3 linked regions of the Lytechinus pictus genome follow. The protein of the gene in region 2 purifies or fractionates together with the protein of the main gene of each other region. This does not show direct contact. Links are inferred from orthologs where the notes say so. Each region holds a gene or a part of one and is shown on either strand. Other genes may lie near its edges. The genes, in order: THO complex subunit 4-like, regulator of nonsense transcripts 1-like and exosome complex component RRP4-like.

The links.
Region 1: the proteins of regulator of nonsense transcripts 1-like (region 2) and THO complex subunit 4-like purify together in Homo sapiens (co-immunoprecipitation; 3 studies listed by BioGRID and IntAct, with this or other methods). This does not show direct contact. The link is inferred for Lytechinus pictus from reciprocal best matches to the Homo sapiens genes UPF1 and ALYREF.
Region 3: the proteins of regulator of nonsense transcripts 1-like (region 2) and exosome complex component RRP4-like purify together in Homo sapiens (affinity purification with western blotting; 3 studies listed by BioGRID and IntAct, with this or other methods). This does not show direct contact. The link is inferred for Lytechinus pictus from reciprocal best matches to the Homo sapiens genes UPF1 and EXOSC2.

Annotation. Positions count from the first base shown.
Region 1 is NC_087254.1:29,241,816-29,245,573, forward strand, and holds the start of THO complex subunit 4-like, read right to left. Parts: upstream 2,924-3,758; 5' UTR 2,882-2,923; coding exon 2,741-2,881; intron 2,177-2,740; coding exon 2,029-2,176; intron 881-2,028; coding exon 811-880; intron 1-810. UniProt on the Homo sapiens protein: Functions as an mRNA export adapter; component of the transcription/export (TREX) complex which is thought to couple mRNA transcription, processing and nuclear export, and specifically associates with spliced mRNA and not with unspliced pre-mRNA.
Region 2 is NC_087249.1:22,497,853-22,501,610, forward strand, and holds the start of regulator of nonsense transcripts 1-like, read right to left. Parts: upstream 2,931-3,758; 5' UTR 2,685-2,930; coding exon 2,487-2,684; intron 989-2,486; coding exon 855-988; intron 486-854; coding exon 396-485; intron 1-395. UniProt on the Homo sapiens protein: RNA-dependent helicase required for nonsense-mediated decay (NMD) of aberrant mRNAs containing premature stop codons and modulates the expression level of normal mRNAs.
Region 3 is NC_087259.1:10,557,661-10,561,418, forward strand, and holds the start of exosome complex component RRP4-like, read right to left. Parts: upstream 2,468-3,758; 5' UTR 2,328-2,467; coding exon 2,215-2,327; intron 1-2,214. UniProt on the Homo sapiens protein: Non-catalytic component of the RNA exosome complex which has 3'->5' exoribonuclease activity and participates in a multitude of cellular RNA processing and degradation events.

The sequences.
Region 1 (3,758 bases), on a different chromosome or scaffold from region 2:
TGCTAATCATACTGGACTCAACCCCCTGGATATTTGCTTTCATACACACAGGATATGCAAGCACTTTTACATTCTTGCCTTGAAAATCCAAACAGAATGAAAAAGATAAGACAACTATAAAACAAACAATAACATTTTTGCTTACAGGCAACAATTTTGCAAACAATCAGAGGGTGGACAAACTGCTATTCTTTAATCTGAGTAAAATACATTATGCATAAATGTGCCAAATGGTTACAACTTATTCATTATCCTGAACTTGCTATTCCTATGTTTACTCTGTTGGGATTTGTTAGGCAAGAATATAAAACCGCTTACAATGTACACAACCTGTGTGAAATAACACATCTTTCTCAGTCTTCCTCATAACATACAATGAGGGCAAAATATGTTTGCAAGGGCCTATAAAATCTAAATTTCGATGACTCAATTAGAGCGACTAGAACAAGAATAGTTTACGAGCATCCTTTGTTGAGCCTTTACATATGCCCAACTTGACAAATTGTGTTTTGATCCAAAAGACAATTGGTGGGACTGAATGAACACTTTAAATTATCTAAATGTTGCTTTTACATAGCTTTAATACATATTTTGTAGTATTACTATTATCTCTTTGTTCCACCAGTCTAAAAAAAAAAACTTTAAAAATTAAAAGGAAATATTTAATTTTTTTTCTTCAAATCTTGATGTCATAATTAGATCATATTCTAGCACAAACATAAATACAAAACATACAACTTTAGAAAGCAGGCCTTTACAAGATACCCTAACTACAGGAGAATGGACAAAATAGAAAAGATGCAAACTTACGGTCTTGATTGCATTGGGTTTGACTCTAGCTCAGTCGCTGAACCCACTAACTGAATATTCATCGGTCGACCTGTTGATGCAACGGGGCAAATAAGAAAAGTCAAAATATTGTTACCATATTCAATTGATAATCAAGGACAATTCTATTGATATTAATTTGACTTGGAGAGAAAAAATAAATGATGTGTCAATGACATTTTCAATCAAGTATGACCCCTAAAACTAATTTTTGCAGATCTGCACCACTAAAAGTGAACATGAAAGAAATTCATGGGACAAAAAGCTGTGCTGCATCATAGTCATGATTCATAAATAACATTGTGAAAATGGTTGACATGTCACTTTGATCATTCATTATTCAGTGGGCTGTCATCAAAGACACTTGCAAACTTTATGCAATTAATGATAGTATACCAACCTTGCATAACAATTATTCTATACCTGAAGAATTCAACTCTAATGAAATTTGAATGACAGCATCACAGAATTGTGATATCCCTTTTCATGTGCCCATAAAGATATGATGGGTCTCATGTGTGAGCCTTCATTGTACAACGCCTACTTAGCTTGTTGTACGCGAGCAAATGGGAGGCTGAATGTCAAACATTCGTACCGTTGCACAAAAGACGTACCATCCAAAATGTACCGTTGCACGGCTTTAGGAGGTGACGTCACAATACGATTCAATTCATTGCGCTCAGTAAAAATGCAGGTGCAATACGCGAATAGCCTGCTGGCTAAATGCGCAATGCTGCCCAGGCCCGAGGTGGTCGCTTGTGGGATTTTGCTTTTCGCTTTCCATATTTTTGCTCCCTTTTCATAGATTACTGCAGGAAAAACTCTTTGTTTTTTCATAAATTCGCTAAACTCCGAGGCGTTGTACAACACAAATAGCGAATATTCTTATTCGTGCAATGGTGCGAGATTTCGCATTCGGTGAAAGAAAGAAATGCTCTATTCAACTCGGCTAACGCCTCGTTGAATAGAGCATCTTTCACTCACCTCATGCGAAATCTCGCACCATCGCACTCATGCCTATTCGCTATTTGTATATTGTTCTTATGGAAACTTTGAAGCCAGACTTAATAAAACTAACATGATCTTTAACATCATGCCATCTCAAACTAAACCTCTCCCTCTCTCTCTAAAACCCAAACATGACCCTTCAAGGAATACAGCAGCTGAAGCGAAAAAAATGGAAGCATTATGATTACCCACCATCTAATGGCACTTGATGGTACTGCTTGATTGCTTTCATAGCGTCTGCTCTCCTTTCAAAGATAACGTCTGCTGTACCAAGACTTCTTCCCGTCCTGTCATAATGAACCGCAGCCTTCTTTAGACTACCAAAGTCTGCAAACAATTCCTGGAGAGAGAATACCATTATAATAATGAAGAATATCTATAGATGTTACAGGGACCTATTACTTTGAAGTTCTGACTGCAGGCTGGCACTGTTAGTATTTTCTGAAGCACAGTTATAATGTCACACAAAAGTGAATTTGAAAACTGCAATGATAGCATGGTGTACTTAATTTGCATTGACAGTGAAACAGTAAAATAATAGGTACATGAATGTTTCCACTGTGTGCATTTTGTCTTATAACTGGCTTGTTATGGTGTAAATTACTTTAAGTCAAAAGGGTGTGTGTTTGAGCATTTTGAATATTGGCACTGGTACTCAACAAATAAAGTGATAATGAGGAATGGATCCTTGACAGAGTAGCAAGTCATAATCAATACAATCAGTTAATACTGACAACCATTTAAATTCATCTTTTCTTCTGAGCACATGTGCAGTAAATCAAGTCTTTATGAAATTAAGAAAGGGTACAGAAACTGCTAAGTTACAGATGGAAATGAAAGGAAAATACTTGTCAAGAGCCCTACCACTAAACAACAAGGGACATAATGATGAAATGTAACTAACCTCAATATCATTATTTGAAACACCAAAGTCCAGATTTGAAACTAGCAGTTTTCCAGGTCCGTTCGCTGCAGTTGATAATCCTTGTCTTCTGATTGCACCTCCACCTTCACTGTACATATCATGCTGCCACTGATCGGGCATCTGTTTTGGCTAAATAAGGAAAACAAGCAAAAAATATGAAGACCCCATCAAAATCACATTTTATTACAATTTTCTTTAAAAAGAAAAAAAAATTACACGATATGTAGATCTAGACTTCATTGACAAAAAATTGATATAGATCAGCATTTTAATTTTGTTCTGATCATATTTTGATTCATGATTATCTGCAATGATTTTTAACATGAACACCATCTCTGGATGATCACTGGATGAAGCCCAAATATGGAATTCTGGAATACTGGCAGTGGAATCTATGAATCCATGCAACACAATCTCATTCTGGCACCAACAAATCAAATGCCAGCTGCACACTCTGTCCCTGGGTGAGAGTAAGGAAGATGTTCAATATTCTTCTTCTTCTTTCCCTCTTTCTTCATGTTCTTACATTATTTCATCTCTCTCACATTATTTTATTAATCTTTCTCACATAAGACTAGATCTAGTCTTCCTGTATTTATGTAAAACTTGACACATTTTATACTACATGTAGATCGATTTGCTGCAGATCATGCGGTGTAAAAATCTTCTTGCAGTTCATGTAGATCTCTTACTCTTAGTACATTACATTTGATTTGAACTTGCGCTTGCATATAATTATGCATCCCACCAAGTCTAGCCAGGAGGCTCTTAGATAGTAAAAATCATTCACTAACGTGTGCTTACTCGCCAAAGAGCCAGGGATTGCGTCCCATTCATGTGCGTGTACCGGGAAGAACTGATATTTTCGCCCCAGAGATTTCTACTTTGCTTCTGAAAGATCTAGCCCTAAATCATGTAATTGGGATACAACTTCATTTCCGACATTTCTACAATATTGATTTCATTTTTAAACAAGAATTCATAAAAAATGAGAAAA
Region 2 (3,758 bases):
TTCTGATCTACAAATTCACATTTTAACATTAGCTGATAGGAATTTAAAATGACTGAGAATGTTATTTAGCATCCAAGAATATGAAACAGTAAACATAAATTATGAACACCCCCCCAAAAAAATAAAAGTGGGCAGCATAAAAAAAAGACAAATCAGATTATCTGATATAAAGTTGACTTGAATTGCACCAGATACAAGATGTAGAACTTGAGCTTAGGGGTTAAGGTAAGGTACATGTGAACACATAAAGGAAATTATTCATACTGGGAAGAAAGAATGTAAATTGCAAGAAAACTGAATCCCTACATGGTAATTTCCTTTGTGAAATACAAATTAAAATAATCTGGGGGGAATTAAACTACAGGCTATAAAGTATAAAGATTTGTAGAACTTACCTGCCAGAGGTGTTTCCTCGTCCATTGCAAAACCATTTCTTGGTTCCATTGCAGAGAACAACAGCAGCAGGGTCATGAATGCCACAGTACCTGATGAAATAAAGCAAAACCAGTGATAATTCATCCATGCCCAAGTTCCTAATGAAAGTGCAACTACAAACCCTTGGCCTTAAGGGTGGTTTATATTTTCAGAACTTATACTTCCTTCAGAATTGACTGAGGGAATTATCAAAATTGTAAGATAATCGCTGAAGCCTCTGAATTTTCTTCTTCAGATAAAACCATTTTAATTTTGAATGGAATCTTGACACAAGTGATTCAATCAAAAACATGTATGTCCAATAGTGTAAATACTCAAAGCAGACTAAGTGATAACATTTTGCAGACATTGTGAAGTTATAGTACTCATAGTGGAATTGGTTCAATGATGTGTAATGAGGACTTTGTTTCAATACTTACTTGCAGGCATGGTTGGGCAAATCTTTGGAGAGCACAGTCGCATCTTCTTCATCTTCCTCAAAGGTCAATTCTTTGACCTGTTGTCCTACAGCAGCCACAGACTCATCTATCCCATTGGTTTGACTAGCATCCACCTACATTGCAACAAAAAAATATAAAAAGTTGATCAAACGATGCATGCAAAACTTTGTTGTGTACCAGTACATATGTAGAAGCCTATAAAATGTCAATGATATTGGTAGCAGAACATGGTCAAGGTTCATTTACCCTATGTGAACTTTGACCTTTATCAAGTGACCTGCGAAGTGCGAACCGTACATGTTCCATGAAATAGGTCCTTATACAATCATACTTTTCAAAGTTATGAAATATGAAGACATTTCAGAAACTTTGTTTCATTAACAACTTTAACAAAATTAACGTTATTGGTTAATAAACATGATTAAAGTTCATTGCTCTACTTCTTAATGACCTTTGATCATGATTACATGTTAGTAGACTGAAACTCATGCAATCAGTGGACCCTTACTTGCATCGGCTGATAAATATCATGAATTACGATTCATGATATTTATCGGCCGATGCAAGTATTTTTTATCTCATGATATTGTCGCCATCTATACCCGTCTTTGTAGCTAGGCAACGATAACAAAGACGGCAAGATGGCGATATACTAACAGACTGTGAGTAAACGCTGCTCCACTTTTAATATTTTCATGTAGATTCTATTTTAAGCATAATTGTACTAAAAAAACAATGATTTTTGTTCAAAAGTTGCAAACCAATATTATACTGTAGCCCATTTACAGAAGTTTGGGCTCAAAACCCTAGAAAATTAGTATTATGGAGCAACATTATTGTTGCCCAATTCATCGGTGCGTGTAGAGCAATGACATCCCCTCCCTGGCTCCATGGAGATTCAGCACGTCAGTGATATGACATTCATCTCCAGGCACCCAAGGGTTCATTACACGCCGCCGCGCACAGAAAAATCAAGCCATAGAAGTCGTGTGTTGTGGACCCAAGAAGTGAGATCCCAGCACGCGTGACCCACTAGTTAGAAATCCACTGCCAAATGCGGTTCGTGGTGCGAGGTTAGTATACTAATAATAATACTAACCTCGCAATACGTGTGAGTGATCTCCAGGAGCCTCCTCGCTACATTGGATGGCAAAATTACTAAACTGTCATTCATGCACAGTACTTAGCTGCAACAGAACCAGAGCACTCACACGTAATGCGAGGTTAGTAAGTATTAGTATTAGTAATAGTAGACTATACTAACCAGAGAACATGATTAAACAAAGTTTATTTGAATTTAAAGTCGTTTGGAAATTCTCGACTTTAGCTTTATTTAGTTAATTTATTACTACTAAATATTAGGTCCTAGTAGTACTAGACTCTAACGTTAGATCTAGTCTAGAGTACTAGACTACTCTAAGTTAGGCCTCTAGATAGTAGATTTCCAATTCTAGATCTCTCTTGATGACGTTGACCATGTTGTCATTGTTGACGGAGTCATTAAGGCAGCGATCAACGTCCCAACGACGGTCGACTCGAGGCCGAGGTGATGCCATAGCCCATCATGCCATGAATGACAATGACAACTTTGTTGAAGGTTAGTGATATTACCTGACTCTGAGATTGTGAAGCCAAATCCAACTGGGATGCTTGGCTTTGAGAAGCTTGTGTCTGTGAAGGCAATGTAAAATCCCCCACATTGTAGTCAAAGTCTGTGCCTTGTGTGTCGGCTCCCAGCAGGTCATGTTCTTCCGCATCCAAAAACGTGAGCAAGCTCTGCGAGCTGGGTCCGTAGGCATCTACGCTCATTTTCTCTCCGTTCTCCTTTGTATCAACAATTCAATCAAAGTACAATGAACACATATGGTACGAATGAGACTGCCTCTTTAAATTAATTAATGTAAAATGACTATTCAGCCGTAATATTTTAGATTTCACAGTCCGGTACCAGCATCAAAATCCAGGTAGGCAAAAGGATCTCCACGGTGTCTGTCGCAATGCAATTCCATATACCAAACGCGCGCGCGCACTGGACAGGTACAGTATTTGATTTGCATGCATTTATACACAGAAAATTATAGAAACCAAACGTGTACTTGAAAATGCGTGATGATTTGCGCGCGAGCAACGCAACTTGGCATTTTTAGCCTCAATCAAGTCCATTATTGAAAATAGTGCATTCCTTTGATGAAATAAACAGACGTCTTAAATAATATATATATACTGTAATATATCATCATATAAGGTGTAGGCAGATTCTATATGAACGGTTATGGACTCGTGTTATACAAAAAATAGGTTTATTTTTAAGGATATTGGTTTTAAATATGTACATAAAATTCACATGAGTAAGCACATGACACGTGAATTCTCGCGATCACATACACTTATTATTATGTACATATTTAAAACCAATATCCTTAAAAATAAACCTATTTTTTGTATAATACGAGTCCATAACCGTTCATATAGAATCTGCCTACACATATATAATGATATTCTTTAAGACGTCTTTTTATAGATTTTCATAAGGCGGCTGCCAATTCTTATTGACTTCAACGACTTAAATTACGACATAACTTAGCCTATACTTAAGTTGCAGTAACCTTCTTCTGTGTATACATAGAAGAAGGCCCCAAAAATGACTGAAAGCTTGTGAATAAACTTGATGAACTGAACCCCGGCTACGTTTGATTGCTTTATTCTCGCTGTATCTACATAATTATAGCATCCTCTCAAATATATACTAGAAAGCACCTCGCAATGTATAGGTCCCTGCTCTTCACAATTATATATATATATATATCATATATGCATATTTATGTATAATTCATAACGATGTTAAATTTCTAATATAATGATTAAAAGTTGATCAATGTTTTT
Region 3 (3,758 bases), on a different chromosome or scaffold from region 2:
TAGGGGCGGGGGAGTTTTTTTTTGTATGGTAGTTTTTATTTGACAACTTCAGTTCATATACAAAATAAAATACATATAAGAAATAGAAGTTTGATGTCTTTACAAATTGATAAATACCTTGACAACTCATAAATTTAACACCATTTTTCCCCTTTAGTGTTACAATAAAACACAATGTCAGCTCTTCCAATACATAATTATAAATAACATTGATGATGATTATAATATGCATTAAGAATAAAAACTAATTCTACAATAAATTCAACATATTTATTTTTTCCAGTGTCAAATATCAACATGAAAAAGAGATTTTCCAAATACACATTGGCATGACATATCGATTAGAAATACCTAAAAAATCTATTTTTAGATATTTCTAATCGATGTGTCGATCATGCGGTCTCATGCCCCCCCCCCCCCCGCCACTAGATTATTAATCAATAGAAGAAACTGTACACACATGTAAAAAACAATACAATAAATTATAGTCTGTTTTAGATGAAAGAATGAAAAATAAACGTTAAAAACAAGCAATTAGCCGTCAAACAAATAACATTAACTTTACATCTCGCTCCCGCGCCCGGGATCTTGTTTTTCTCCTTTGACAAATTCATGCACACACGTGTCGCCCTAAGCCCCATTTCCAGCAAGCTAGCCAACACTCATTGTGAGTAACTTGTGACATGACAGCAGATGACATGAGAAATTGAGAATGAACGTTAAGAATATTACTTAGAAAGTAATTAGCGGGAAAATTATGAGGAACAATTCATTTTATGATAAAAATTTCTTGAAAACTATCAGAAAACGGTATCATGTAAAAATGAAAGGCTACGTCGGACCCAGGTCGCACCGCGGACAATTCAGTTCTAACATACATTGTAGCATGCATGTCCGGCTCAGCTAGGCGCGCTGGCAACGCTAGTGTGGCTGCTCAGGCTTGGCTGGCTGGCTCGCCGGCCGGCTGGAAGTGGAAATGCGCCAGTTTCTACGCATGGATATTTTCCGGTCATCAATAATAACATCGTAGTTTGTCTGTTGCCGAAATGATTCTGAAACATCCTTTACTTTTGAGGATTGATGATGAATGATGCAACAATTATTTCCGATGACTTTTCCCCACTTTTTATGATTTTTTAAAATTTTTTTTAATTTATTTTTTTGCCTGTGTCGCTCGCGTTTTGCACGTGACGCATATAGAGCTTGTGGAATTTACGTGTGTCGCATGCGACGCGTGTGTTCTACACTGGCGAGAACGTTGGTAGCAACATCTTCACATTTTCTGGTAGCCAAGTGGTTTATCTATCAATGTGACATGTTTCCATGGCAGCTCACAGAGGCTCAAACAGTCTAGGTCAGCATAAAGACTTAAAAATGCCAATTTTCAGCCACTAGCCCACACAGCTTATAGCCTAGGCTAAACTAATATGGGGATGGGCCAAAATGCATTTCCAGACACATTTTATAGGGCATTTAACTATTAAGCCTTATTTTTCACTATGTAGGAAATTTTATGGTAAGTTTTGAGCAATGTCTTTGACAATGATGCTAATAGGTAATGCTTTTTTAGTAGAAATGCCATTTTGTTTTTTTCGTTGTCCTACCTAACCATATTATTTTCTGAACTTAGTCTTAGATTATGTTAGAAGCTAGTCCCTAGTTTATTCTTTTTATTCAAATGAACTGTTGTTGGACAAATTCAGGGCCGGGTATGTGCAGTTACACATAATTACACTGATTATGTTGCTATGTCTTTGAACAGGCTTGGCTATTTTTTTTTCTTCCAATCAATGACAATGGTGAATCATAATGGATCACAATTTGTTTTGACAAAAAATGAAAAATACTAATTTACAATCATTATCAAAATTGGGCATGTTGGGTAGCATTTTGAAGATTGAACATGGTCATGCGAGTTCAGAAACAAAGTCTTACGTCCAAACTTCTGCCTTGCTTTAAATATTTGGCTAAAAAAAGAGAATAAAAACAAAACAAAACAAAAACACCCGTTCCCCAAGGCAAGACAAGTCCACGACGCGTATTCGCCACATTCAGGCTCTAGTCTACTCTTGAAGTTGAACTCCGCCGCTGCGCCGGCGGTGGAACTTCGACTTTTGCCATGCCCCCACATGGCCCAGCGCGGCGGCCACCCACGGGCACGGGAATGCCGTCATGGCCGTTCCCGTCGCTACTACTGGTCCATTAATTCATCACCTCATAAAATCTGTGTCGGCTGTAATGGTTGCTCCTGGTGTTACTAATCGTTGAGGTTCTGTAAATTCATCACAAACTCGTCTTTCACGAGGAGCGGTGATGGATATTGCCATTTTCCTTCCCAACTTTCGTGCACAAATAGGTCAAACGTACTGGCCTAACTAACTGAGCTAGTCAACTGAACATGCAGACAATTTTAATATGACAGCAGCAAATTGGTATCTTTCAATCGCGAATAGGAGTCATTTCGTCTGAAGTGTGGATGTCAAGTCAAAACTATTCAAATTTATTGTCAATCATGCTCAAGTAAAATAAGTGAAATAAATCAACAGAAATGTCAATGCGATTCCATAAATTTCAGTTAGGTTTTAAGTAAATTTTATCTCGCTGTGAAGATTTCAAATGGATTTCCCCCCTATTTTGATTGATTAATGCTTGCCAAAGTCTCTTTGGGCCAAAGAACAGGGGAGAACAGTATATATGAGTCGTGCTACACTATTATTGCAGCACTTCTGTAAATTTAGTTGGTATGGTATAATGTATATCATTAGGCTTCTATTACCAAATTGACACATAATAAGCGATAATCACAATAGGTTTGACCAAATTCACCTTCATTCTTACAAAAAAAACCACGTTAATTCTTTAAGCCTGTCAGTCACTCTAAAAACAAGTTAATTGTTGAAACTTTTTAACAAAACTTGTTTAGAAAGTTTAAACAGTGGTTGTTAGAGTGACGGGCTTAAACAAAGTGCTTTCAATTTTAAACAGCGTTTTTTTACAGTCATTTTGTTTCTTGTTTTGTTTTTTGCTTGTCAATTTTTTCTTAATATAGAAGCAGAACCCCTCTTATAGAAAATCGGTCCCAGCCCAGGCCCCTCTCCCCTTTAATGTTTTATTTAGCTATACGTCCATTATTCATCAATTGAGAAATTTGAGGGGCGTCGCACCTATACTGCTTGACTTCATTTTTAAGTTTTTTTTATTTGTTTTGCTTTCATAATCTATTTGTTTATTAGTTTGATTCAATTGACTTATTCGAAAATATGAAAGACCGAATGAATTAACTTCTTGAATGAAAACAAAAATGAATTATCTCTTTGCTTATGCACTAGGGGTGGTGGAGCAAAGTTATAGGGGGCACAGGGGAAAAAGGCACCTTTTCTTTTCTCTTAAAACAAATAAAAATGATTCATCTACAGCCTAATGGGGCAACATTTTTGAGGGGGCTAGATATATCACGTTAATTTATAAGAAGCTGCGATTTTTCCATTATATTCAGCAAATAACACATTTCATTGCTTCCATTCATTTCATAATACGTTGTATCATATCATTTCTTTTATTTCCTATTGGGTGTGGACCCAAGACCCCCCCCCCCCTCCGTCCCCGGGCCTGTATACGCCCCCTGCCCCCGCCTGTTACGCCACTGCCACTCACATAGCTTAAGGCACGTAGGATTATCCTTACAAGTTTTGTATATAAACATATACATATAAACAAAAATTAGAATAGTTTTCTTGTTTCAAAGGGGCAATCGATCG